4 linked regions of the Lepisosteus oculatus genome follow. The protein of the gene in region 1 purifies or fractionates together with the protein of each later gene. This does not show direct contact. Links are inferred from orthologs where the notes say so. Each region holds a gene or a part of one and is shown in the gene's direction. Other genes may lie near its edges.

Evidence for each region.
Region 2: the proteins of serine/threonine-protein phosphatase 2A 55 kDa regulatory subunit B beta isoform (region 1) and ier5 purify together in Homo sapiens (affinity purification with mass spectrometry; 4 studies listed by BioGRID and IntAct, with this or other methods). This does not show direct contact. The link is inferred for Lepisosteus oculatus from reciprocal best matches to the Homo sapiens genes PPP2R2B and IER5.
Region 3: the proteins of serine/threonine-protein phosphatase 2A 55 kDa regulatory subunit B beta isoform (region 1) and microtubule cross-linking factor 1 purify together in Homo sapiens (affinity purification with mass spectrometry; 4 studies listed by BioGRID and IntAct, with this or other methods). This does not show direct contact. The link is inferred for Lepisosteus oculatus from reciprocal best matches to the Homo sapiens genes PPP2R2B and MTCL1.
Region 4: the proteins of serine/threonine-protein phosphatase 2A 55 kDa regulatory subunit B beta isoform (region 1) and sertad4 purify together in Homo sapiens (co-immunoprecipitation; 3 studies listed by BioGRID and IntAct, with this or other methods). This does not show direct contact. The link is inferred for Lepisosteus oculatus from reciprocal best matches to the Homo sapiens genes PPP2R2B and SERTAD4.

What each region holds. Positions count from the first base shown.
Region 1 is NC_090706.1:27,877,836-27,885,431, forward strand, and holds the start of serine/threonine-protein phosphatase 2A 55 kDa regulatory subunit B beta isoform, read left to right. Parts: upstream 1-4,583; 5' UTR 4,584-4,882; coding exon 4,883-4,892; intron 4,893-4,987; coding exon 4,988-5,068; intron 5,069-7,596. UniProt on the Homo sapiens protein: The B regulatory subunit might modulate substrate selectivity and catalytic activity, and might also direct the localization of the catalytic enzyme to a particular subcellular compartment.
Region 2 is NC_090704.1:30,252,431-30,259,090, reverse strand, and holds ier5 (immediate early response gene 5 protein), read left to right. Parts: upstream 1-4,086; 5' UTR 4,087-4,481; coding exon 4,482-5,423; 3' UTR 5,424-6,145; downstream 6,146-6,660. UniProt on the Homo sapiens protein: Plays a role as a transcription factor. Mediates positive transcriptional regulation of several chaperone genes during the heat shock response in a HSF1-dependent manner. Mediates negative transcriptional regulation of CDC25B expression.
Region 3 is NC_090701.1:56,252,476-56,260,283, forward strand, and holds the start of microtubule cross-linking factor 1, read left to right. Parts: upstream 1-4,796; 5' UTR 4,797-5,441; coding exon 5,442-6,371; intron 6,372-7,808. UniProt on the Homo sapiens protein: Microtubule-associated factor involved in the late phase of epithelial polarization and microtubule dynamics regulation.
Region 4 is NC_090697.1:26,749,065-26,756,125, forward strand, and holds the start of sertad4 (SERTA domain-containing protein 4), read left to right. Parts: upstream 1-4,045; 5' UTR 4,046-4,750; intron 4,751-7,061.

The sequences.
Region 1 (7,596 bases):
GACGTCCTGACATCCACATTCAACCTTTGTCCTTTCACAGGGGACAGAGTAGACAAATGTTCATCCTGGGCTGTCCTGCCTGTTCAGCTCTGTGGACTTGGAGGCTCTGGCAGGAGGGTGTGTGGCTGGTGACGAACTCACAGTGGAAAACACAGCCCTGCCACGAGTGGGCCTGAAAGAAGAAGATGAGTAATGCTTCAGATGACGGGAGATTGTTGGTGTGAAAAAAATCACTGATTCACCATGTGCTACAACAGCCTGCTTCTTTTAAAAACAGTGTTGAAAACTGCTATCAAAAAATATAATCTTACCAGCACACGCTGAGCTCGGTAGCACTGGTCTTTCCATGTATGGTTGCATTTCTGAAGCCCTTAATTTTCATGTCAGCTAACAGAAATGTATAAATGTGGGAAAGATACCACCAAATGCTGTTGTTTCTTAGAATATTATCGCATTATATGTCCTCAGGTTGTCATTTTGTTGTAATGTTCTGGATGCTTTGGCTCAGTTCTTACTTCACTACGCTTGAGGTTAATGTCTCTAAGCCAGTGGCGGCTGAGTTCCGGCGTGACTCTTGAGCTCAGAGAGAGCTGGAGTTGAATTTGATTTTACAAGGTTTGCCCGGTTCCATGCGTGTAACACAATGCAGGCCTTGCCATGTTTTCAACATGGCTATTAGGACTGGGGCTGTGGGCTGAGATGGCGACATGTGACAGGAAAAGGAAATGAGGTATGTAGCCCTGCGATGTGATTGGCTGAGTTGAGATATCAAGCCATAAAAGTGACAGGAAGAATGCCAGTGTTGGCTCTTTCTTCATTGAGGCTGATGAGCTAAGAACAGCAAGGTTTCAGTGGCAGCAAAATTGGTACCGACATGAAAATTACTTTAAGATATTATGAAGTTAAACTGGAAGATTCCATAGAGAGGTGAAAGAAGCCCAGGTAATAATTTTGAAAACCTAATAAAATGTTTGAGATTTAAATGTTATTGACTCATAGTGGTTGTGGAACAACGTCTTTGTGGGTTTTTTTAACATAGTACATTCTATTCTTATTCATTCAAGGCAAGCAAAATGTTTCTCTTGTATCAAGTTAAAGTGTTGCTCTGTTTTAAGATGAACATCCTAAAGAATAATAAAATGTACAGTGCAATTGTAGAAAGATATGGAATTGGAGGGTACTGTGCTTAGCTTGGTTTCTGAGAATACTTGTTAAACTGTGCAAAACTTGGGATGCAAATTCTGCGCAAGAAACATGAGGTGATATTACAAGCCATGACGCGCTGCACCAGAGTGTGAACTGATAAGCCTCTGCATTTACAGTGTAGAGCTGAAAAGCAAAGAGTGATGAAATCTTTCACATGATTCCTGGAACACAGCTCTTACAAATAACAATAATGCTCAGTATAAAGCTTTAATAATTCTGTTTAGACCTTTTCAGAAATAACACACACAGATGGTGCACACACTAGTGCTGTAAGTACGATCCGTGGGACAGCTGCTAATCTATACAAAAAGGTATGTTTTGGAAGAGAATCTTTTCTCTTTCCTTCATGACTTTACAAAGGAAAAATGTTCTTGTTGCAAATATGATGTTTACTTCTAAAGTTCGGAATTTCATCAATGCTATGGGGAGGATGGGGGTGCAGTGGTTAGCGTTGCAGTCCCTGGGGTGCTATAGGTGTGGAGTTTGTCTGCTCTCCCTGTGTTTCCATGTTCTTTCTCAATGTGCTCTGGTTTCCTCTCAAAGTGCAAAGACATGCTGGTAGGTTCATTGGTTTCTAGGTAAAACTGGCCCTGTTGTGAGTGTGTCTGTGTCTGCGTGTGCTCTGCGCTGGACTGGTGTCCTGTCCAGGGTGTATCCTGCCTTTTGCTTGTTGCTTGCTGGGATAGGCTCTGGCTCCCCCTTGACCCTGAATTGGATGAAGCAGTTAGAAAATGGATGGATGTTATTACTATTATAGGTGTTACAATTAAAAAGGTGTTGACCAATATATTTTTAACTTTAACAACCAGAAAAGACATTTGAATGCCTTTTGATTTCAGTTCTGTTAAAGAGTCAAGAGGATATGACCCTGATAGACATAATGCATTGACTCCAGGAGACAGTCTGTGCTGATGTGGCTCCTGTGCCCTGAGTCATTCTTCAGCAGGGCGCCTTTAACCCCAGTTCACTCCTGCCTCTTGTCACAAGCTTGATGCTATGATCACACTGCTCTGCGGAACGTGTATGCGTTTTGTACAGCTGGACATCGCCCATGAGAAGAGGTGGGAAAGCATGGAACAGCTGCTTGTGAGCTCAGGATTATGAAATGGTAAGGGGGAGTCAGAAATAGCATGCAGAATAAGACCAAGGACTCTGCTTCTTCCCGTTAAGAATTGTGTGCTTTTAATTGTACGCGTGTGTGCTCTGTCTCTGTGTGTGTGCTTTAGCTTGTGGGAAGTGGAGTAAACCATTGTTTAGACATTATCAACTCGATCAAATGTACTGTAAGCGCTGGAAGAAAAGTCCTTTGAAACTAACACGGAAATTTACTTCGGTATTTTTTCCCCCACAAGGAACAGTATGTTCTTGGCCCGTCACGCCCCCGCCTTCACTTTCCAGGTAAAGCCGGCCAGTCCCGTCTCGACCTGCCGGGAAGGAAGCGCGGCCCTTTCTAGCCTCGTGATCAGTTCGCGCGGAGAACTAGGGGGGGTCCGGTTCGGGCGAGGAGCGCCGGGACCGCTGCGGAATTCTCGGCTTTGAGAACTGAATTCCAAGGGTTGAGGTTTACCGACCAGCCCATGGACCTCAGTTCTGGAGCTTGGGGTTTCTAAACGACACCGCTGGGACTCACACTTCCCTTCGCGCCTTTCTGAGTTGGAAAAGTACAGGGGCTGCGTCTGAAATGCAAGTGTTGTTTTTCTTTGGTCTTCAGTCCGTGGGGAAGCACAAAAGGCGTCTTGGAGAAATTGCAGACCGTATAAAAAGGACTGGCGGTGTTAGTATGTGTCATTCTGTTGCTGTGCAGGTCGTTGCTCAGTGGATTTCAAGCTGCCGGACGATTTCAACAGACAGAATAGAACTGAACTTAATGTTCCTCCCCCACATACACCCTCTTTGCCCGCAGGCCAGCAATGGCCTAGCTTTTTGCTGTTCTGTTAGGAAACACCGTAAAACTTGGGGTGTGTAGGTGACTTCATCCTGCCCACACCACTGGATCAACCCTCAAGTTTCGAAAGGTTAGATTTATGCAGAGATCCCTTGAAGAGCAAGCTGGATCACACGGCTAGCTCCTACACCAGATGCAAGCCTTGCTAGTTTCACAGTCCCGGGGTCAAACAGCTCTCTTTGTTAACCGCTAATGAGTGCCAAGAAACGCGATATGTTCTTGCGAAGACTTCAGGAAATATTTGAAAATTATGTTAGTCTTGCCATTTAAATTAAGGTTGGAATGAAATCAGAAAGGTGGCAATGGATAGATCACCCCATTCGAACATCATTGTGTGATGCTTTACGTATAACGCAGCTGATTTCCATTTTATATTGGCTACAAAGATAATGTTAAAACATAACACCCCCATAAACAGATCGACGCGCAATCGCCTTCAAATGTATTGGCTTCGCTGTTAAAGAGCTCCCTCTACCGTGTTCAACTGGAAATGAAAGTTTCGTCTAGCTTTGGAGACACGAGCTGTAGTTATTTTTAATCCTGTGTCCCTCTAGAAATGCTTTTAGGTAGAGAAAAATCAGTCGTTTACAGTGCTGACCCGGAGAGTGCTCACTTTGCTCAAGTAAAAGCGCAGCACGTGCCCTACCTACGCCTCGAACCCGGGACCAGCGCCCTCCCAGCCCTACCCACTACTGCACTGGCCAACGGGGCTGGCAGAGTTCTGTTTTGTTTCTGTTGTTATTTATTAAAATGTCGATATAAAATGTACTAATATAAAAGTATAACTTATACATTTTAGTTGAGTGTATGTAACTTCGCTCCCTACCAACCATTTAATTCAATATTATAGCAACCACATAGGATCGTTCGACAACGATAAATGACTGTTTTGCAATAAACATTTTTGCTCTAACTTAACATTATGCGATTGATTTCTTCTTCTTCAACCTCCAGACCTGACTTATGGTTTAAGATGTTTTTTTGAAAAACCGTTCGGGGCATTCAGCCTCTGTTGTACTCGGTTAACTATTGATACTGTGCTAACAGCGTTTGATTTATGCTTTCAACATTCACAACTTTTTGGATTTAGAAATATTTAATTTTACTCGAAATATAATTTATAGGAAATTAGCCGAGTGTTTAGACTACGTCAGTCCAGGCAGGTTTGCTAAAACATGAACTTCGCAGCCGTCTTAAAATTCAAACTTTTCTATATATAAAAATATAATATAGGTCAGCGCTACAGCAGCAAAATATAATACAATAGTATACAATAAACTATATAGGTCCGTGCAGTAATATTGTTCTAGTATAATTTGTAATAAGTAGGCTACAGGTTGTACAATAGTAGTTACTTAATAAATCAAGTTAAGAAATATTACGTTTTACAGAGGAAAATTTAAGATTTTTTTTCACAAATACTTCAAAATAATCATTGAGACTGTGAATCTCAGTCAGATTATGGTACAGAGAAATCTGATTCTTAACGTGCTCTCACGACTGAATCAGTCAGGGACGAGAAGGTGGGCAGACTTGAACCAGATTTTTTTTTCGCCATTTTGAAACGGCATTTAAATAGTTGAGACAGGCAGAACATCACCACATATTTGCAATCGTCCACTCCCCTCCATCTGCACGCTAATTCGGTAACAAACGGCAGCAGGGGTTTCGGGAGAGCTCGGTTAAGACGGACGACAAAGTCTTCAGTATCAACCGCCTGCCTCAGGAATCATGATTCCCGGTATGTCATCTAAAAAAATCCGCACTGAAGGCAAATACAGCATTAGCTAATTCTGGGGGAGAAATAATTGTGCACCTTGGTTCGGTTCTGTCCAGGGTTCGGTGGAGGCAGCGCGGAAGACACCAGATGGTGTTTCGCACAGGTGAAAGGTGACGTGGAGGTCAATGTCACAGAAGGTAAGAAGTCACCTGGCTACGCAATTGTTGTTTTACTAGGTTTTTATAAAAAAAACATTCTCTGTATTTAATTGTTTGACGCTCGAAGTAGTCCTACGAAGTGTTTATGTTGATTTAAAAAAATAACTTGTCTTTATCAAATGAGTTCATTCTAAACGGCGTGTTTCGGAAGTTGTTTTTTTTTTCTTCACACGCCTTTACAGCAGGTGTTGTAAGCCCGGTCGAGCTCATAAGTATATTGGATTGTGTTGTTTATTTCATCCCTCCCACCTTTTTTTTTTGTTTTGTCCTGTAAAGTTATATTCCTCTGAGTGCTATCAAGCATGGAATATGATGCACATATTTGTTTTTATCAGCACTCTGTTTTTAAACATGGTGGTTTGGAGGCGTGGGAGAATGAATAAAAGTATGTTGCAGCGTAGCACAAGTCCGTGTACGTGTGTCTGTGGAAGCAGTATCTCCCTACAGGTCAGGTAACTTGAGTGGGAAAAGGCGTTCTTTATAATTTCTTCGTGGAGTTGAAGGCATTACATAACCTGCTCTGACATACAAAAACGCTGAGATGGTACCTGCATGGAGGAAAAATAACTGTTATCTGTTTTGTACTGCCCTTCAACAACCACGGTTTAAGCTGGGGACATGATTTCCTTATGCTTTCAGTACATTTGGAGACCATACTTCGGTGTATCAAGGCTTGTCGCGGGTGTCTTTGACAGAGAGGGGGAGTAAATTTTAGAATAATATGACTTACAGTTGTACTGTACTTTATAACATTGAACGCCGAGACGTTTCTATGGAAACCTGAACGATTCCGGTTTTGACGAACATGTTGCGGATCCTCATTGAGTGCCTTTGCCTGTAACTGAGCACCGATCGTCGGAAACCGGTCCTTGCCCACTTTCAGTCTGAGCAAGCTCACATTTGGGCGAGAACGCCTTTTGATTTCAGTATTGTAATGTAAGGGGGGCCGCTTATATACATCGATTTATTATTAGAGTCAGGAACACGGTAACCCCGTAGCTCGAAATAGCTGTTTCTGTCAAACGTATCGAATTTCTAGGACGGTATGAGACGCTAGGTTTGTTTTGCCCAATAATCACTTGGTTATCAGGGCATCAAGTGGGAGACGAGAATCGGTTGTCGTGGCGGAAGGTTTTTAATTCGAATGTCCTAACGGGGGTGTATCTGTTATATCATGATTTTATTTCGAGGTTTTGATGGGCCATCAATCCAGGAGTCTAAGGGTTAAGGAACATTTCCGATCTTGACTGAAATACCACATAAACGGATGTGTCATGTCGATAAGAGCCGCGGCGCGCAGTTTGTCTGCCGGTCGCTGCCGAAGCCGTGTGAGGTTTGAAAGGTGCCGTGCAGAGAGAGATCGGTGTGTATCCGGGCGAGGTGCTGTCGGCGGCGGAGCCCCAGCTGTGATAAGCCCAGAGTCTCTGGGGGCTGAAAGATCAGCTCATGGAAGAACAGGAAGAACACCGCAGTCCTCCTCTTGCGGGGGACTCCGCAAAAATAATACAACAAATGCCAAAGGCTATTGTAACGACAAAACGTCCCCTCTCCTGTTTCGAATAACCCCCCTTTTCACCTTTCCAAACATATCTGTCTATCCGTCTATATATAGAAACCTCTATTTCATAAATATTCATTGATAGTTTTCGGGCTTCCTAAAAAGCCGTGTAAAGCCGAGATAACTGCTGCGAGAGCGCGCACGGGGGAGGCGCGCTTCCGTGTGCCGGTGGAGTGGGCGTGAGGTAAATACCACTTCCCTGTCTCCAAGCTGTGGTTTCAATTGTAAAATGCACGGTTTACCGGCAAGCTTAAAATATGGATACCTCGGCACATTAACAAAACAAATAATTGTCTTCTGCAGCGGAAATCATGTCGTATTTAGGCCTGTTCCAAAACAGGTATTTGCATATTTTACACAAAGGCGCCGAGGCGGATAGCGCGATGCTGGCTGTTGTACTAGCGGGATCCGACGGTCGATTCGAGGCTCAGAACTGCGTGGAGCTCGCATGTTCTCCCCGTGTTTGCGTGGGATGCCGTCTACGCTTAGACTAGCCTGTTCTCGCTTCTCTTGCGGGCTTGCACCCCGCTTTGGGAGAAAGCTTTTCAGCCTCACCCTAAACCCTGTGCCAAAGAGGCTGCGGTTTGCCTCCCGCCCTCGGCAGAAAAGCACCCTTCCCAATTCTAGGACGGCTTGAACGTTAATTATCAAAGTTCACCACATTGGGATTCCTCCGGTCATACGCTGTACAGCTTTTCCGCTTATTGATACTTACTAATTTACTGCAGATTTTAGTCTACCTTGACTCCCGTGTCTTCTCTTACTAAAATGGATGACCTCTGTATGTAGCTTATTCAAACGCTAGCGGAAATATAACTGTATTATATAATTATAACGATATTATTTAGAAAGCGTGACGCATTCTGTGTACATAGGTTGTAGGACGGGCACTGTGAGCTACGCGTTGTAGCGCATCCTTGTTGTAAATGAAGAGCTTTAGGGAAAATAG
Region 2 (6,660 bases), on another chromosome or scaffold:
GAGCATCTCAAGGCTTAAAAACAAATCCCTTTCACTGATACACAGTATATATTAATAGATGGGATCCTGTTTTTAAAATGATCTGAATTTGCAGTAAAAACCTGGGAGACTGACTGCTCTCCCCTTCATTACATTAAAGCTGTAAATGCATGCTGGGCCACAATCAAAGCACCGCAGAGATGCAAGAGCAGGAAGTCTTCTTCATTAGTTACTTGCCATTAATTATTTAAACAGCTGCCACTGAGCGCTTGAAAGTAACAGGAGCAGTACCCTGTGAAGCCTGTAGACTTGTGACACATGGTTGTAGAGTAGGGTGGCGTGGTGACGCAGCAGTTAACATTTCTGCCTCACAGTGCTGGGACCCTCCGGGTTCAATTCTGGACCTGGGGTGCTATCCGTGTGGAGTTTGTATGTTCTCCCCGAGTTTCCTCCAAGAGGTCCGGTTTCCCCCCACAGCCCCAAACCATGCCGGCAGGTTATTTGGCTTCGGGAGAACTGTGAGTTGTGTGAGTGTGCCCTGTGATGTACTGGCTTCCCTTCCGGAGTGTGCCTCTGCTCGCACCTGTTGCTTGCTGCCAGGACAGGCTCCAACTCCCCCGGGACCAGGAATTGGAAGGAACGGTGCGAACAAAAATGGGTGGATGGGTTATGGAGTGAAGATGGATACTCTGTTCAATTTCTGCCCTAACATATTGAACACCAGAGTGTTCTAAAGAGCGTGTGAGCCCAGCCGATATCATTAGCCAATTATAGTTAGGAATTTGTCCAGATCACGAAGCACACAACCGAAGAATCTCAGATGACATATTTCCACTGTACTGTACAGACTGTACAGTGCTAATAAGCAACAGCTTTCTTTCTTTGGACTCCTGAGTATTACAGAGACTTTTTTCAAGACCCATTTACACTGAAAAACCCTGGTGAGAAATAGAGACATTGAAATGTGAGGGCCCTCTCATTTTGCACATTTCAGATCCCTACCTAAACCTAACAAAATGTAGTCTGAACAGCTCGAGGAATTTGTAATAAAACCTTAAAAAGCACAAAATAGGAATGACTGAAATGATAGAATAGGACCTCCTAATCATGAAATCATAAAAAACGAAGAGGATTTTTTTCCTCCATTTTACATACTACTCCACACTATACCTATACTTTGTGGGCAAGCAGGCTTGGGCTCAGCATGTACAGACATGCCCTAGAACTGTGCATATACAGTCATATTGTCCAGCATCTGGAAGCTATGTACACATCCTGTGCGAGTGCTTAAAATAATCATACTTATTATATCGCATGAAGAAATCCATCAAGGCATAAAATATAGAAAAGCAAACTGTCTCCTGTCTCTACTTAAGATTCCTTGTCCAGAGTGCAGACCTGCTTTGTACCCTGTTTTTTTTAGACAGTCTTTGGACGCCTGTGACTCTCACCAGGAATAAGCGGCTTTCTAAGAATGGGTGGATAATGTTTTTATGATGAACAAAATATTTTACCATTACTGTCAACTAATTGTTTCTGAATATTTTCATGAGTAAGACTAACTGAGGAATAAAGGTCAAACATTTTGACAGAAGCCACTTTCACATTGGACATATTGACAATGAGAGGAATCATTTATTCATGTTTGTTACCAAATATTTTTAATATTCGCCATTTGTGTTGCCTAATTCCTGCAATGTAGTAATCACCTTATGTTGGTTACTAGGCCTTTGAATGCATGATTCCAAATTGTCCTTGTCTGAAGATTATTCAGAATCATCAGGCTGATTCTTCTTTTTTTTTGTTAAAAGAGCTTTTCGGGGAAGAAACCAATATTTTGTTTCCAAGAATGTGTCACAGAGATGAAAGTGACCTTCATCTGGGGTGCATCAGTTTCATTTAAACTACTTCTGGGTAATTTACACAAACACAATGCAGAACTGATCTTTGACGTTCAGTCCTGGCAGTCCGTTTCATTCTTACATGGAATGCAATTCATAAGGTTTTCATTAAGTTCGGATCTCTACATGCTCATTTGGGCGTATCATGCAAAAACTTGGTTTCAACTCCGAAGGGGGAAAAAAAGACTATAATAAATGTGAACTTTAAGAAGGCGAGCGTAATGCTTTTCACGTGATTTTTGTGTATGCCATCAAGAAAATGAACACATTCACTGTTCTTCCCCTAAAACACATACCAGGATACAATGTCATAGCACGATAATTAACCATTAATATATCCCCGTTCTTATACAAGATGTTAAGTAAAAATAGATTTTCCTAAAAATATACTGTACCACAGCCCTCCAAAACAAAGGGAACAAAATACATTATCCTGCTCATAACTTTTAAAACAATATTCTATTCTACGCTTAGCCCAAGCGTTTATATCAAAGGCGCTTTCCTGAAAACAGCAGGAAACACTGTTAACACGTTAAAGTAAAGTAACACCCTTAAGAAAGGGCGGAGGTGTTCCTAGATCTCTACGTGACAAACCCACAAATGACCTTTTGTTGTGCAAATTAACGTTTAGTGTTCCTTATACATCTGGCGTGTTGTTACAGTGAGCGTCTTAGCGCGTAAAACGGTACTGTCCACACGCACAAAAATCAAAATAAACCGCAACGACGCTTCTTCTGTACGCCGCCGGGTTGCCAGTCCTCGTCTTACAGGGTCTCCAGTGTGAGGTCCTGGGCAAGAAGGCCGCTCCCGGGCAGGCTGAGGGGTCACGGATGAACAGGAGCCGACAACGGGGACACCGGTGCCTGCTGTCCATACGGCCGGGTGCACATTCCGCAATACCGGGGCCCTTCGCACTCCAGGAGCGCTCTCAAGCGAAAACGAGCCGCCGCGCTTTGAAACTACCTGCTGTCATTTCACTAGATTAAAAACAACAACAACAAAGCGATTTCCTGAGTCAGAAGTGGAAAATTGCTTCCTGCTCTTTGTCTGAGTGTGCCTCTGGTGGTGGTGTTCCTACGTCACCTCTCGCCCCTCCCGATGTGTTTTTATTTTGCCGACAGCTTCCAGGCCTATTCCGATCGCCTCCCGTCCCCCCCCTCCCCGCAAGTACGCGACCGGTGAGGCCCAGAGCGAAGCCCTCATCTGTCAGGTCTGATGGCCTCGCAGTCGTTCTGCGACTCTGGAAAGTGGTCCCAGACCTGTTTCATCACACACACACCCCCTCCCCCAGAAATGTTAGATTTCAGTCCAGCCCATCCCCCCGCATTACAGCTCTCTGTGTCAAAACACCCCTCCCCCCCGCCCGCCGCACACGCTAGCTGCTCCATTCACTCCGCCGGCCAGACAGCACGGTCCGGGGCTCGCTTGCACAGAGCGTCATGTGACTCCCCTGAAACAGACGAGGCATTACATCAGCCCAGGCAAACCGCCACCAAAATAAAATACTCTTAAACGGGCGACGCCACGGAGTGTGGAGAGTACCGATACTTCCTAGGCTTTGGAAGGAATTTATTTTTTTCTCAACAAAAACAAAAACGTCATACGTTAAGACACACAACCACATGGACTGTCCGTCTCTTAACGTCTTAACACGTTATTAGAATTCGATTCATCTCCGCTCTGTGTCTTATTTTTCACCAGTTTTACATGACCACCTTTTTAGCCAGGACAACCGTCCGTGAGCACGCTTCTGCAGCCGGCTGGCTGTCGGTTTGCGGCGAATTCATGTTAAACTGTGAGGCCAAGTGAGTTCTCCAGTGCCGCAGGGTGCTGTACTTATTCGTTTATCAGTTTCTGCATTTTCCTTGCACACGGCCATTGTGAAACAGGCCCGCAGTGATGCCCTGCCTCTTCACTCTGCAGGTGGGCTGTGAAGACAGTCTGACTGACCCTCCCCCAGTGCGGTGGTGTGTATTTATGAATGTGGTTCTCTCGTCAGGCGAGACGCTTTCGCGCCGGCTGGGTTCAGGAGTTGCCCTTTTAAGAGAATCTCCCTCGTTAGTATTTAAATCTGCGGAGCCTCCACCCCGCTCGCCTATTGGTCGAGGCGGACTTGGCGGTGCGTAATTTCTCAACGTTTGTAAATGAAGATCCGCGCTGTGATTGGCTGTCGTAAGCGTCACGCCGGGGTATATAATCGCGTTAAAAATAGAAGTCCAGTTATTTCCTTAGAAGCGCGCAGGAGAGAGGGGTGGTCTGTAGTATTTAAAAAAATTGTATTTATTGTGGTTGTATACAGAGCAAAGATCATCCCTCCTATTTATAAACTGTAAAAAAAAAAACTAATTAGATTTGTTTTAAATCATAGTTAAAAAGCTCCCGAAAACAAGAGTGCCAACATACCTAGTTGCGGCTATATAAACTTTTCCGTAGCTGGTATTAAGTTACACCGGTTTTAAAAGTTTCGTGTTTTACGAGCCTCTTGGGTTTTGTTTTGAACTGAGAGCTCAGGCGGTGATCCAGAGCAGCCCGGACCAGGACCGCCGCAGGAGGGGTCGCCTTTGTTGCGCCGCGCAGTTGACTGGTTGACGATCAGAGACCATGGAGTACAAGGTCGAGGCGCACCGGATCATGAGCATCTCCTTGGGCAAGATCTACAACTCCCGGGTGCAGAGAGGCGGAATCAAGCTGCACAAAAACCTGCTGGTGTCCTTGGTCCTCCGGAGCGCCCGGCAGGTCTATCTCAGTGAGTACTACCAGGGTGTCTGCCTTAACGCCCAGCACATGGACACGGCGCCGCAGTGGGGAGAGGGGGCGATCGTGGACTCTACCCAGGACAAAGCCGGCTCCGATCCGGCGGGGAGCGCACAGGGATCCCCGGACAGCGGCTCTACGCTCCCGCCCGAGAGCTCCCACCCACTGCCCGCTGCAACTGCCCTGGAAAGCCCCGCCGCTGGCCGGCAACCCGAAACCGCAGAGCCTGGCGAGCAGAGCGCCCCCAGCGCGCCCTCCTCACCCGCCTGCTGCTGCCGCCCGACCGGGGAGCCGCTGGGGGAGCCTGTCCCGGCGCCGGCGGACTTGCCGTGTGCCCCAGTCGCGCCATTCCCTGCCCGCAGCCACGGCGCTGAAACGCCGCCCTACAAGGAAGCGACACCCCCCGAAGAAGGCGCGGGCGGCTGCGGGGAAGCAGAAGTCAAGGGTGGCGAGAGTGAGTCATCCGAAACCAGATTAAATCACTCGGCGGCCGCTTCCTGCTGTAGGAAGAGAAGTGCCGAGAAGGCGCCCCACGCCGAGTCCCCCGTCAAAAAAACCAAGCAGACCTCCCCCAGCGAAGAGGCCGAGCGAGAGGAAGAAATGGACACTAGCAACGTTTCCAGTTTAATCACCATCTTCGGCTCCAGCTTCTCGGGGCTGCTGAGCAAAGACAGCGCGCCGCAGGCGGAGCCCCCCGCCGGGGACAGCGACTCCGCCTCGGGGCAGATCTGCTGCGAGCAGATGCTCAAGAACATGAACCCCTGGAGCACGGCGATCGTGGCGTTTTAATGCCACGGAGGGTCACCTGGCCGGTGTGGAAATGTGTTGAGGGATCTGTCGTGAAGCTGTGACCAGGCGGGCGCGCCATCGCCTCCCCCCTGCCCGAGAGGCTGGGCCCCCTCTCTGTGCCCGACCACGTGGAGAGCGGCGTGGGGCTTTCCCGAGCCGCGCGGAGATGTTTCCACTCGCGTTATGTTGGGGCATGCCTGAATCGGGCTGTAGACTGTGAACTGGTGCTGGTCCTGACGCAGGGATTAATAAAGTGGACGCGATCTCGAGTGGAAGGGGTCGTTTAATTGGATCGGGATGTACGTTTTAGCTGGAAAAGTGTGTTCAGAGATTTCCTCGCCCCTTTGGTAACTTTGCACTTTTATTTCGATTAACTGTTTTACAACCCTTGAAACGATCCCGGAATTAAACGCTGTCGTTCATTGCGGAAGTCCCGGTTCAAGGAATTAAAAACCTCAAAGAATAGTATGTGGCGAGCTGTTACTATTTCACATGTATTACTTGATCAAAGAATCGGTGCTAAACTCATTTGTAGCCACATGTTTTAAAGGCGAGGTCCTAGGGATGTTGAAAGTCTTTGTTTTATAAAGACCTGTATATATTTGTATGTTTTTTTTGTACAGACCATTCTTTTCTTCCTGAATCTGTATTTTGGTATTTGCGCTTCATTATGGATTTTATTTGCGTGTTACACACGTATTAAAACCTTTTTGAACATGAAATCCCTGCTTTCTGCCTCTTCTCTCCAGTGCACTAAAGCTGAAGTGATCTGTAGTGGCCGTTACGTGGCTGCGAGTCTGGAATGTATTTGGGGGGGCGGGGGGGTGCTGAATGCATCTGTCTTTATTCTGTGGGGGCAAAGGTCATGGCGCCTCGGGGCTCTTAAGCTGAAAGGCTGCTCTGCTCGGGGATTAGAAAGCGTCCGGTCTCGCCGCTCACAACCTTGGCGTGAAAGCCACGTATCCTCCATTTGACTACCCATCTTTTATTCTTGTTTACGTCTTGAACTTCCGTATTTACTGTGAGAACGGAGTAAGGAGCAAGGTCCTGTTGTGTAAACTCCCTCTGTGTTGCAATATTCGTCGTTTTCTCTTGGCTATACGGGTTCTCCGTGCAAAATCGCTTAAGGGAAAAACAAACCGTAATGTGAAATTGAACCTTGGGTGTCGTACGCATTTGACCTGAGCAATAGTGAAAGTATTTACACCTCTGCCTTTTTTGATAAAATTGGACTTTA
Region 3 (7,808 bases), on another chromosome or scaffold:
TATAGAACTAAAAAATTATAATATATCAGCAGGATTTATATGAATACAGAACATTTCTAGTTTAAAAAAGCTTACCAATACATTTGCATCAGACCTGGGGCTATTCCTTCTGGGACTTTGAGATTTGTTCTGTCATTATATTATTCTTCATACGTCACACCATCAGTAAACAAATCGAAAGGTTCAAGCCAGTCATGTGCAGCCACTCTACCCCAACGTGAAAAATGTGAACAGGAAATAAATGCATTGTTACATTTTAAAATGTAAAGCATATACAATATTAAAGTACTTTGTATGTGAAAGAAAGAAGCTTTGAATTTACAGTGTGTAAGATTACATGTGTGTAGATTATGAAACTGTGTTGATGTAAACATGTACACACTACAGTGTACTGAATGTGATGCTCTGCTCTCCTTTGTGGAGTCTGGACTAACTGTAAAAAGTAAAACTCTGTACCGCACTTACAGATTAAGTGCTTTGGTATAACCTGTGTCACTTTGAAAACCCAGTTTTGTTCTGTGCATTTTGTTTAATGCAAATATTGTAAAGGTAAGCCTTTCACTGTTTCTCTTTATAAAGTTAACTTTTACAGAAGTGCATTTAAAGTATTCTTCTCATATTATAAATATAGCAAGTTTCAGACTGTAAATTGAGATACTAAACATTTTAAACCCGATATAAAGCAGGTTTTGTTGGCATGTTCTAAGATGTTTTTGAGGTATTTATAACTTGTGGCATTCTTTAACTAATGAAGTGCAAATAAAATTTTATATTTATTACTCAGCATTTAATGTTGGAACGTTTAATTTATTCTACGTGAAATGTACAAAATTAGATGTACAAGGGTCACCCAGTGTGTAATGCACCACATTTTATAAGGAACGAATTCTCACAGGACAATGCTGTCAGACTGAACTTTTCTGCTTTGTTGCTACTTTCTTGGTGATCCTCTTTTCAATTGAAATGTTAGTCTGAAATGCCGGTAAGTCGCCACCAGGTGGCACTCTAATTCTGGAATATAAGATGTGTCTCGGCTCCTCTTGCCCAGAGGATGGCAAATTTATGCCAGATTCCATGCCAAGGTTCGGTGCTCCTGCTAATCCTCAGTTATTGAAGTGATTTTCACTTTGCTTGAGTAAAATGAAAAAAAAAGTGGAATTAAAAGGATCAGTTCTGTACTGAATGTTTTGGAACAAGGGCCAAAGTCCTGTAATGGCTAGGAATCCAGGTGCCAGAGCAGAGAAGGCCCAATCGAGCCCACGGAGACGTTGTTTATGAACACAGCTCTGTTGATAAAGAGCCCGTACAAGCTTCAAGTGTCCACTAATAAGATCTCTTTATACTTCATTTACAGGAAAATGCAGTATTCATAGGTTTTTCCCTGCTTTTCAAACATGTAATTTTCTGTTTTTTTCTTAAGCGATGTGTGTGTGTGTGTGTAGGGGTGGCACAGTAGCGCACTGGTGAGCCCTCCTCCCTCACGGCTGCTGGGGCCCCGGGTTCGAGTCCAGACCTGGGGTGCTGTCTGTGTGGGGGTTTGTATGTTCTCTCCGTGTTTGTGTGTGTTTTCTCTGGGTGCTCCAGTTTGCTGCCATAGACCAAAGACATACTGGTAGGTTCACGGGCTTCTGGGTGAACTGGTCCGGGTGTGAGTGTGTGCGGATTTGTGTCAGTGTATCTGTCTGCCCTGCGGTGGACTGGTGTCCTGCCCCGGGTGTACCCTGCCTTGCGCCTGTTGCTTGCTGGGATAGGCTCTGGCTCCCCCAGGACCCTGAATTGTAACTGTTAGAAAATGGCTGGATATACTGAAGTTGTGAAAGACAGCATTTCACAGCTGGGGACTCGCTTTAACACTTGCCCATAGATATTGATTTGGACACTGTCCTGAAAAGCTTTCATGGTCAGATTCTAAGTTGAAAGCCTAGGGGAAAATCAAGGATTTTATCAGGTTTTCTCACATTTTTGCTGTTTCTAAATGGACGTCATAGAAGGTAATATTAGGATTGGGGTGTGGGGGGAGCACTATGATCAACTCGAAATGGTATATGTAGCTGGTCAAGTGGTGAATGGGCTAGTAACCACAATGAACCTGAGATTCATGGATAACAGATTTGGCAAACCTTTTCGTATACAACCGTTGTAGTCTGAAAATACAGGTATTATTTTAACAAATGATCTGCTGTCTCTTTAGTGGCCTGCATTATCTCTTGAGCCAGACCTCTTTAATGCACCTGGAAAAGCAATTGATCATCTCCAGCAACACCTGCGATATTAGACAGGCAGGGCACTATCTTGAGAATGAGTGCTGCCAGCTGTGCATTTCACAGTGGTCAATGTTTTCAATTGATCTGGTCAGAAATTCAATAAGTTGACTCCTTCCTGTTACTAGTTTTTGTTGCATCAGTTCCGTTTTACACAGTTTTGCTGTGTTAATGAACCAAATGGTTCATTTACGGTCTCATTTTAATATTTACGGAGGGGATCATACATTCGTTTGATTCCTAGCACCTTCCCTTTGCTGACTGAAAGTCCTGGCATGAAGATAACATGCCTTAGCTCAGTGTATTCAGCATCAGACTTTGCTACAGCTAGCAGCATGTATTGTGTGGTAATCAGTCTTTATTTGTATGTATGGTGTTAGTTCACATGCAAGCCTCAGTAATACATTTTACAGGGTGAACATAGTGATGCCAAAAAGAAACGCAAGATTTTCTTGAATACTATAGTTATAGTTAATGTACTTTCACAAAAAGTGATAAATTTGTTTTAAGCAGTACAGCTGGTGCAGTGGGGCATTGCAACCTGCCAATCACAGGAAAGCTCATTAGGTGCACTTTTACCCAACGAGGTGCAGGTGGAGCAATGCCTGATCAGGTCACCTTTAAAAAGGCCTCAATTCAAAGCTTAGGTCACTGCGAGAAGAAGCCCACACTTAGTCAGTTTTCTGTGCAGTCCATAATGCCTCAGATGGCACCAGAAGCAAGGGAGAGGGCCACTGGCATGCTGCAGGCAGGCCTGTCATGTGCCAGCGTTGCCAGACGCTATGGAGTGAGCCGCTCCACTGTGTCCCGACTGCAGAGAAGGCTTCAGCAGACCGGCAGGACAGATGACCGCCCAAGATCCGGTTGCCCTCGAGTGACCACACCAGAGCAGGACCGACACATCAGACTGGTCCATCTGAGAGATCGTTTCAGATCTGCCACCCGTACTGCGGCTGAACCTGCCAGCAGACACAATGCCCGCATCAGTGACCGGACAGTGAGGCTCCATGCTGCTGGCCTTAGAGCAAGGCGACCTGTCAGAGGCCCTCTGCTCACAGCTCCTAGACCTCACACCCAGCTGGCTTGGGCCAGACAGAGGCTGCGATGGACTCGTCAGCAGTGGCATCAGGTCCTCTTCACAGATGAGTCCCTCTTCAGCCTGTTCCACCCAGACGGGAGGGCCAGAGTGTGGAGGAGGAGGTGTTGCGTTTCTTTTTTCCATCAGTATGTATACAACAACCCTTAAAGTACTGCTTACACAATTTAGTAGACACTCTACAGTATAGAATTTAACAACACACTTAACTGAAGACAGAGTAGCAAGTGTGAAGCTGTAGGAGCAGTACGCTTGTAGGACATCAGTGCCTAATGGGGAAAACGTGATTGTAAAAATCATACAGCTGCTCACACTTGTGTAGCTGTCAGTAACATGAAATGGTCAGATATGTAGGCAGCTGCAAAATGTTCGTAAACGCACTGACTGAAAACAATCTCTTTTAGACAGCTGTTTGTGCCCTAAGGATGCCAAAGCTCTTTATGTGTGGTGCAGCCATGTGCCAGCAGCCCGACTAGAAATGGGAGAATCAAGGAGAAGTTCCAGGTAGGTCAGGCTGTTCAAGCCCAGAGGAATTTAACCAGGACGCTGGGCACCACACCCCAACTCTAATGAAATGTCACGGGACCTTGTCTGATGCCTGGTCTGAGTGATGGTACCCACTACTGTACACTGTACCTAATCACAATACTCGGGAATTTGTTTTGAAAGCTGTGGTCCAAAGGGAAGAGTTACCCCCAACACCTCTTACTTCAGCAGCCTGGTTTTCCTTATAAGTCCTCTTTGCCCAGTACTGACTGGACTCATCCATGCTTAGCTCCTGAGAGATGACAAGATCTGGCGGGCTACGGTCTGGTCATTCTGCTGCTTAAAAGGACCGCAAATGTAGGGTCTAATGGAAAAATTATTTTTTTTAAATAAGAGAAATATGTATGACGAACACCATCCATCCCCGTAAGTCTTAATTTTTTTCAATACTAATGTATAGTGTAAGGAATATTTAAAGCTTCTTTTGTATGTATCCTTATTTTCTGTTTGTAAATATAATGTGAGATGGAGCCCAATAAACAAGTTCCTTGTGACCTCCACACATCTTCGAGGGATACCATCTGTTAATGGCTTTATACCGTGCTTGTGTTCCAGGGATGTAGTGCTTTTTTATACACGAATGCCTACACATATAAGGTGTCAAATCTGAGGTGTCCTGCGTGACTTAAAAAAACAAATCCACGCAACAGTTTAGATTTTATATTGATATTGCAAAGTTAACAACAGTGGGTGTAAAGGCTAGATTGGGCGGTGCCTTTATTATTCCTGTAAGTCTAGGTTAATGCCTTTTTTCCCCCCAGTTCCTGAATAAGAAATTCTCAATCCATGCGGAAACAAAGTGGACAAAGCCTCAGACTCCGTTCTGAAGCTTACGGGCTAAGGCTTTTAGTGCATTAGCGCTTTAATGCCACCCGCAGACACAGCTGCCAGAGAGCGGTCGTGAGTAAGGACGCAGACAGCTCTATGGACTTCCCATTCATTGCCCGTAAGACAAATCTCCTCGGACTTAAAAATAAGAGAGAGGGCGGGGGGGTGAGAATTGATGGTGAAAAAAGCAGGCGCATGCGCTCGCCGGAAAGGCACAAGCGTCAGAGACGGACCGCAGCAGCGCTTGCAGATCTTGCATGTCAGACCGGAGCGGAGAGGGGTGGACGGCTGAGGAAACTGTCCGAGGGGTGGGGGGGACGAGGTAACAGAATGGGGGTTCGGGGGGATCGCTGTCTTGCATCACGGCTGCACATGAATTAAACCCGGACAGAAGACAAACCCGTGGCCCGGCAGGTGGGGGTGACTCGCGTCATTTCGATTGGAAATTCAGGGTTGTTTTTTTTTTTATCCTTGCTGCATTTTCTTTAAACTGGTTCAAGGAGAGTAAAGGGAGGATGAAGAAAGGGGGTGCTTGTACTCGACAGAGGTAATCCATCGCGGGGATGTGAACGCCTGACAAGGTGCGCACCAATCCGAAGTGATGAAATCGGAAAAACAGGACGGTATTGCCGAAGTGATCTGCAAGGGTTATTTGTGTGGGCAGAGGACGGGTCGTTTCTTTCATCACCATTCCTTACACGCGTCTGCGGATGATGGAGAGTTTAAATGGCACCAATAACGAGAGCAAGCCGCAAAACCACCAGTTAGTGGAGAAGAAAAGACTGAACAGAGCGCCTTCCCCTGCGAGACCATTCCTGAAGGATATACACTCCCGGTCGTCTGCCAAACCCCCGGCCATCCCTCCCAAATCTCCCAACCTCTCGAGCAAGCAGCAGCAGCAGCAGCAGCAATCAACAGGGCTCCTGGCATCTCAAAACCGCCTGTCCAGGCGCAGCATCTCCGGCGCCAAAGACAAACCGGCTCCGGCAAAGAGTGCCGCCAAGACCGCGGTACCCAAAAAGGCAGCTAAGACCATCCAACACGGGACGACAGAGCCGAAACTCGCCGGCCACAGCTCCGGTAAAGGGAAAAAAGAGAAAAGATGCGCCGTGGCGGAGGCTCCCCGGGGTTCACCTGGCCAGAGCTCTTCGGTCGGCGCCCCAGGAGGAGCCGGGCTGGGGAGGAGCAGCCATACGGACAGCAGCTCGGACCTGTCCGACTGCCCCTCGGAGCCCCTGTCGGATGAGCAGAGGCTCACCCAGGCGGGCAGCAGCGATGCGGAGTCCGGCTCCGGCTCCGGCTCCGGGTCCAGCGACCGCGACCCAGGGTCTGGCGATCACCAGCCTGTCGGGGCGGCCGCCGCCGCGACCTACGGGAGGGCTCACAGCCTCCCCCAGCTCGGGGAGCCCCCGGCCTCGGTGTCCCAGATACCCGCTAAAGAGAGGGTGTCCTACCCGCTACCTGCTCCAGGACAGTGCGGCGACACGGAACCGCCGGGAAGGAGCCCCGGCAAACTGGACTTTAGACCGGGCCACCCGAACACCCCCACAGAATTCATGCTGCGGGGCAGCAAGGGGTTGATAGAAGAGGACCTGCTGAGGGAGGTCGAGGACCTGCGTTCCGAAAATGACTATCTCAAGGTAAATGCGAATGCGTTGGAATGGATCCCTTCAGCACCGCGTTTGTGTGTCACTGTTTTTAACACACCTGCTCACTGAGGAAGGCATTCGTCGACACTAACCGTTCGCCAAAAAAAATAAATAAATAGCGGTACCACAACTGACGCATGTGCCAAACACGAGACATAGTGTAAACCTGTACATGAATAAGTTCTGTGGTCCGTGTAAGCGCGTATAATAATATAGGCCTTATCGTCTTTACGCGTTAAAACTGGGCAGCAATCAAGTTCTTTACATGTTCTTTTTTGTTTCCTTTTTTTTGTCAGCCTGGATAGTTACGCATTATTGTAACTAGGGGTGACTAAGAAGATGCTGTTTTGCGTTTTCCTCTGCGAGCACTACAGCACTGTTATTACAGTATATTAGCACACTGTGTACTGGATGTGTGGTTGGTGTTCAGAAAAAGCCAAGGCTATGCAATGCGTTGCGCTGCAGCGAGAGTGCAATTACTAGGCTCTGCTTAGGGACATCTGCTTTTCTATTGGTTTTAACCCTTTTGGCGCATAACACAGAATTGTTGCTTTCTTTTTCCGTCTCAAGAGCGCAGTGAAGCCTACACCAAACTCAGTTCAATTCACTTTACTCTTCGTGTTGTCTTTCCCCCCCAATGGCAGCCTGTAATAACTGAATTCCCTAATTACTTGAGCACTGATTGTTACTAGTTTGTCATTATTGTTGCCATCACAGTATCCCAGTTCGTTTTGTTCACTTACAGTATTTACGGACCTTTAAATACTCGTAACACCTCGAAACTCTAAATAGACTCGCATGCGCTTCGCTGCTTTCCGTAATTGGTCTGGAAAGCGACTACATACAGTACACAGATGTTAATACTATTTCGATCATATGTATAGAACCGAGGCGATAATCCAACCTTGTAGCCTTTTACATTAGCGAGTGACTCCAGAGATTTAAAATTGATATTTTTGCCACCACACCGCGATCGCATTTTATGTACGCCCCGGCACTGCAAGAAAACACGTTTTTTTATGCAGCTAGTGAACAGCTATGGGCGTATAGCGTCTCACAAGCATCTTGTAAGATATTTCATGCGGACATCACAGGTGACACCAAAAGCGTGCTGAAATGCTGGCTCCTCTGTAGAGACGAAAAGAAACGTCGCTCGGAGACGTTGAGGTGGCGAATCAAGCTATGGTGTATTGTATATATATATTTTAGTAGCTACATTTAGCCGGAATTATAGAGATATATAGCTCTCAAATGACTTTTTCAAACGCTTACATTTTTAACCAGAATCTGTATAAACCGTTTATTGTACCAGAAGGCTACTCTGTATTTAGTTAAAAATGCTGCAGGCTAGCTTCCCTTCCACATGACCAAATACAAATGAACCAGCTCCGACATGAAGCTGTGTAGCGCGTATGTCGTATGTTATTG
Region 4 (7,061 bases), on another chromosome or scaffold:
TGGTGCTGCACTGCACACACTTGTGAATTCTTCATTTCTGCAGGCTGAGAGAATGGCACTGGGAAAGAGTCTAGAGACAGCAGCTGAGGCACAAAAAGAAGCTACAGCTCTTGTTACAAAATCTAAACCCTGATCTGGGTCATTTCTTGAGATCTCCAGCTTTCCTATCACTTCCACGGTGAGATGGAGCTGTTTTAGTGAAATTATTTGTCCCCCTTAAAGAAGATGCACTCCAAAAGCTGACAGGCTACACTTGAGCAAAAGGGGACATTTACAAAATGTATAGTAAGGGGAGTCGGTTGTGTATGTCTCATTAATTAATAATTTTAACAGCAATACTTCCTTGCATTTATATTTCTCTTTTTTTCTCAATGAATCTCAAAGCACATTACAGTACATGAAAGAGCACTTTACGTATGTAAGCATTTTACATATACATCGAACATAGCACTTACTGTAAGTGTAGAGCTTACCTAGGTGATGTGGTAGCACTGTGGCTACAGATCTGTGCCTGTGGCTAGAAGGTTGCCAGTTCAAATCATTTAGCCAGCAGCGGAATCCTACTCCGTTTGGCCCTTCTGCAAGGCCCTTACTCCCACCTCCTTCCAGTCTGCACCAGCAGCCCCTCCACACAGCAGATCAGGGGAGGAGTGAGAGACACCTTCACCAGGTGAATAAAGATTGGAACTTTAGGGAGGCCAGATTGTACAAGCCCGGAGCGGAAGTATACCATAATAGGAGGGGTAACACATCTACTCTTATGAACTGCGACATACAAAGAACTGGGAGGTCAGGTCCTTGGTTAATTTACTCATCCAAAAGTCCTCCTACAGCACCCTATCTCCACTCACCACACTGAGACGTGGATTTGCAAATTCAAGATTAGGAAGAGCAGAAGAGCGCCCCCTACAGGCTCACCAGCTCTGCTGGTCAGACCTCTTCTGAGGTCTGAAGAGAGCATGCAACAAGGTGAGAAGGCTGCTGCCTCACTTAGAGAAGCTCAGGAACTAGTGCGCCTAAAGAAAGCTAATTTGATTTAACCTTTTTTATTATAACTACAAACAGGTATGCCCCACAAATCCTCAAAAGCAGACAAACCAAAGACACGGGCTATCAGAGGCTGCATTTGAACTAGCAAGGTTTTTTACCCGCGGGGTTCTTTGAAGAATAACAGGGACCTCCAATTAACAAGGCTGAATTCATGAGGACTAATAATCATTCCCGGCTTTGAGTTGTCAGTCACAGAGACAAAGCTCGTACAAAAAGCAAGAATGTGACTTTTATGCTAACATATCTAACATAATTGGCACCAGAAATCCGTGCATGACTATCAATAAACTACTGAATTCATTATTTTCTTCATCAATGCAGAATTGATTGCACCTCTGGGACACCATAATGGTGATAGAACTGAATTTATCATTATTCTGATCTTCTTGATAAAAACAAAAACTCTTCTTTCAATATTTAGGGAAATAAAAAAAAACACTCTCTCCCTTGTTTTCCCCAGCTATCGTCGTGGTGACTAGGAGAACAGCCGTGGCTGGAGTATCATTAAATATTTCCAGGTTTACAAAGTTTAGCATTTGCAAGACAAATGACTTCAAAGACAGAAAAAAAGTCAAATTTCCGCTCCCAGATCACGCGTCTCACGCTGCTCCTCTTGTACTACTTTCTATTTATCAACAGATGGCGCCAAAACTACACCCTGGGCTGGGTCCGCGGGTAACTTTCGCTGAATTTGCCAGCTCATCGAATGAAAACCACCCCCCCCCAAAACAAAATGTTTACAAACGAGAGGAGGCCTGTCGAGTCTTTGGAAGCTAACTGGATCTGATCCACTTGAAAGAAGTGACAATTTTGGCTTAGATAATATGAACAACAACTCAATCCATAACCCCACAACCTTTTGTGCAAAAAAGTGGAAAGAAAACAGTAATACACGATGTCCGTTCTCGATTATTGTTCTACCTAAAGTTTTTTTTTTCAGATTAAATAAATGTAATGTAAAATCATTGATGTGTTTTCTTAAAATAGCTTTGACTCTTCACACTAAATGGACCATGCCAAACTTACTTGCTCACACATGTTTCCTGAATGCAGGTAAATGTGTGTGTCACTGAAAATGGCAAAGATTTCCTTAGTTGAGCAATTTTCATATCAAGCCACAGCAGCTAACCAGGCCAGCACTCATATCCCCAGCAGTGCTGGTCCCCAGTTTCTTAGCTGGGTGGACCGGAGCTCACTCAAGGTACAACAGCAGTGTCTGCAGCGGGAGCTCAAATCCGAAGCTACAGTACACTTTCCCCTGATTGATAAGTACAAAAGAAAGGCTTCAAGGTAAAGACAACTGTCCTCCAGGGCTTTGGGTCCAACACCTTTTCAAGACAGTGTGTACAAACTGGATGACTGTAAGCAAACAAGGCACTGATGCTTTGAAGATGAGCCAGTTTTTATCCTGGTGCTCAAAGGGCCTGTTGGATTAAGTGGGATTAAAATGTCTGAAAGATCTTACAAAAAGGACAAGCCTGGGAAAACAATAAAACTCTTGGGTGAAAACTGGCACATTTCAAATCTCAAAGGGGTGGTGTGGCATATCCGTGGCTTGGGATCTGCGGCTGTGGCTGGAAGGCTGCCGGTTTGTATCCTGCACCTGGCAGAGGAATCCTACTCCGTTGGGCCCCTGAGCAAGGCCCTTAACCCCAACTGCTCCAGGGGCACCGTATAAATGGCTGCACTCTGACCCCAAGCTTCTCTCTCCCTGTCTGTGTGTCTCATGGAGAGCAAGTTGGGATATAGTATGTGAAAAGACAAATTCCTAATACAAGAAATTGTATATGGCTAATAAAGTGATCTTATCTGACAGCCTGGTACCAGTTCTCCAAAATGAAAGATGAATGTAGAACAGAGTGATGGGTGTGTGGGACCCAAGGGACCTGACTATACATGGTAACTGTTTTTGTTTTTAAAGACTGGACTGGATAATGTTAGAAAAGCGATAGACCTCGAACGGTTGACAAGGATGGACAGTGTACCTCTGTTGCTTTTTTCTGTAGCTGAACAATTGGCACTGTGGGTAAGGGTCTGTGCCTGTGGCTAGAAGGTTGCTGGTTCAAGTCCTGTGGCTGGCAGAGGAATCCTACTCTGTTGGGCCCCTGAGCAAGGCCCAGCTGCTCCAGGGGTGCTATACAATAGCTGACCCTGTGCTCTGACCCCAAGCTTCTCTCCCTGTCTGTCTCTCATGGAGAGCAAGCTGTGATATGCACACATACTGTATGAATTCCTAATGCAAGAAATTGTATATGGTTAATAAAGTGATCTCTCTTTCTCTATATGCCCCACCTTGATAAAGATGCTGAGAGTTCAGGCCTGAATTAGGAAAATGGTCTACTGAGTTCTTAAACCACAGTTTCCATTACTAGGTTTGTACAACACTAGTGTTATGAAAGAGGCGGTAAAAATTCGTTTAATTCTCCGTTGAAATAAACCCTGCACTTTCTTCCATGTGTGATTTTACAGTGGATAAGAAAACCTTCACGACCTCAAGATTTATATTTTCTGTCTTTTGTGTGTGGCCCCTGTCACACGGATAAAACATAACATTTGCAGTCTTTTTGCACTGCTTTCCAGTCGAAGTTCAAAGAACTCCTCTTATCTGTCTTTATTCTCGGTTAGCGCTGGTCGCCGAGATCTTCAGAGACCGGAGATACATTTTACCTAGTTGTTAATTCTATCTACTCAAGATATCTATCTATCCGTTATGGTTAGCTAACTCCGTAAACTCTGTGGAAGCCGAGGTCTTTCAAACGTCGATCTTCCTTTTGCTTCTAAAAAAAAAGGAAAATAACCGTGGGATTTCACATGCAGTGATTAAGAAAAATAAAGGGCTTTTGGCTCGAGTATCAATCTCCGGTTTTGATGATTAAAATTGTAGTCAGAAAGAAAAAAAAAGAATACATATATATACCGTTTAATCAGGCTGCTCTCACTGGCATAACCTCTCCAGGCTCCTCTGAATAGAAAGCACAGAACAAAATGCGTTCAGGAGATGCTGGAAAATACGAGTCGACGCTGGATCAAAGGGGAAATACATAACAGATGCCTGGGCTCGCTGCCTCCCTCCCCTCTTCTCCCTGTCGGTCACACGTTGTAATCCCTTTCGTCTGAATTCAAGTCCAGCAGAAGGACTACCTCTAAGAGAGAGCCGTGACGATTAGAGAAAGTACTGCACTGGGATAAAGAGGGATGGGGCGATGTGCGAGTTTCCTCCAGACGTTTTCAAGTCGCCCCCTTCCAATCGAAGAAACACACCTTTGTGGTGACAGTTGGATTTCGAGCGGAGTCATTTGTATTCAAGGGAAAGCACGCAGTCTGGAGATAGGCGATGCACCGTCCAACTTTCACGGCTTTGTTTAAAACACTGACGTGGTTATTGAAAGTGCCGTTGATGTTGCTGACTGGTCGAGCGGCGCTCAAGGGAGGTTTGTTGTAATTGCTCTTACCTGAGAGAACGGAAGGACGGGGATTCAAAAGAATAAATTAAGGAGGCGAGGAAAGAATATCACCGCCTTTATTCAACCTGTTTTCAACATTAGAATTGCAAGTGGTGTTGCAGATAAAGAAGGATTTTGACACTTGTGATGAAACTACCGCTCCCGGTGACGGAGGATAAGAGCTGCTCGTCACAAAAGAAAACTGTCATAAAATTGCACTCAGCACCAACTTCAAGGAAAGGAAAACTCAATTAAAGGTAGGTGTGTAATTTCGTGCGCAAAGGCGGTCACCTGAATGAACAACAGTGCTTTAGCTGTATGAGGCGGAACAGGCGAGGGAGGTGGTGACACTAAAGAGGGACATTTGCACTGTGGAATGTCATAGTTCCGAAATGATTTTGTCACAGGGACGGTTTTGGATATATGCATGTCGGTCAAAATGGAGATGAGTTCAAAAGGAATAAAATCAAACTGCTCTGTTCTTTCTGATATATTTGTATATGTAATAATTGATTCTTTCAATGCGAGGGTTAAATGCTCAAGACAAAAAGGTCAATGGTCCATTCATGAAACGTACACGTTTAATGTTACAAATCGACATCGTAGTAATTATTTACGGCGCAAAGCTTCTTGCTGACAAGTAATCCATGGCCAATTATTTTTTGTGGTTTACGTCTTAAATGCCAATTTTAGAAGATAGAGCATTATATTCTCTTTAGCGACTATCAGTCTGTGACTTTGTTTCTGTATATACTGTAATATCATCCCATATCATTTTCCCCTTTTCCACTGGCACGCTATTCCTACTTTTACTATATACTATAATAATAATAGCATGTGAAATTTAAGATTTTCATTTTACCTTCCATTATTAAAAAAAACATAGTTATGTTCAAACATACAACGCATTGTATCGTTAAGATTGTCGGTGTCTTTCGTTTGACAACCTTCACGGATTACTAAACAGAACCCCAAGAGAGACATACACATATGGAGTTTTTCAAAGGTCAAAACTCAGCTAATTTTTCATTCGGATCAACTATTGAAAGCATTGATAAACCGAGAGCAAGTTCGGATTAACAGACTTTCACGCAAGTAGGTAGATCTTTAAATGCCAGTCCGCAGGTCAGAGACAGACGCTGCTTCTTGGAGACGGAACCCCACACGCTGCGCTGCTGCACCACAGCCGCGCTCTCTTCCAGATGTGGCCAGCTGCCGATCTCAGCGGGGAGAAAAACACTACCGGAGCACAGCTGGGGCTTCCTAACATTGTAGGGCAGAACACAGCCTAGATCCGGACACAGTGTAATGGAGTGTGTCCAAAACAGCCGTATCTCCAACACTGGACACTAATGATGGAACAAGAGCCGCACCATAGGGAATAAGGAGAGCGAGGTCGAATTATTTTTATGGCTCGATTTTCTCGGTTTGTCCAACAATATATGTTCCTAACAGATTTATGGCCACAATTAAATTTCGCGTCTTGTGTTTCTAAAATTTACAAATGTGTTAACACTTGTGTACAAATAATGCACATACAGCGTACACATAGACATGCGTTTGTGTATCTGTATGCAATTGCACAGATCTGCAGATTTCTTTTATTGTTGTTGTGTCCTCACGGTCGTATTTTTTTTTTTTTTTTTTTGTAGCGCTGAAAGATTTTAGTCCAAAATTAAAAATTAAAGACTTCAAGACTTCAAAATTAAAAGATTCACGAGTCTCAGCCTTGGCATACTCCAGAATTTCCGATTTTTTTTTTTTGTAATAGCCCTGTGATATTCAGCTGGGGTTTTGAGGAACACTAGGGTGCAGAGTTTGTAGAGTAGTATCCCTCCCAGCACAGAGCTTAAGAGCCTAAAAACAGTTTAACCTTTCTTCCTGGTTTATGACTCATTAATACAAGACATGAAAGAAATGTAGCATCTACTACATGCCCTGTTACATGTCACTATAACCATATTGTAAGATTTTAAGCACAGGTTTGGAAAAGGGCGGAAATTTAAATATACACAGATGTACCCAAATCTGTCCTTTTATTCTACTGCTTTGACTTGAATAATACCACCCCCAGGAAGTGTAAATAATATTGTTACTCAAAGTGCTTTGCGAAAGTGCTCTGTGTGGAAAAGTAACCCATCCAAATTAAAAAGGAAGCATTGGACTGGTATATTCCACTGTCCACTGTCCAAGCAGGGTGTCTTTGGCATCTCTCAAATGGCAGGCTTTTCAACTCTTGAAAAATCTGTAAAAATAATAACGAACATCGGAGATTCACGCATTTTTAGGAAAATGGATGGGTGTGGAGTTCTCGTGAGAGGGAAAAAGAGGAGACACACCCAGCAGGTTGCTTTTAAATATTGTCTAAATTAGGCTGTCTTGCATGTCTGAGCAAAGACAACTGAAGGAACTGACCTTGTTTAAACACTGGCTGCCTTTCATGAGCAGAAAGGCTTTCTCTCCACTCACATTTCTTCCTTTTTTTTCCTTTTATGAAAAAAAAACAGACACACAAGCCCCATGGACTGGTATTGAGGTTGGAACCAGATTTCAGTAATCTCTGCCAAA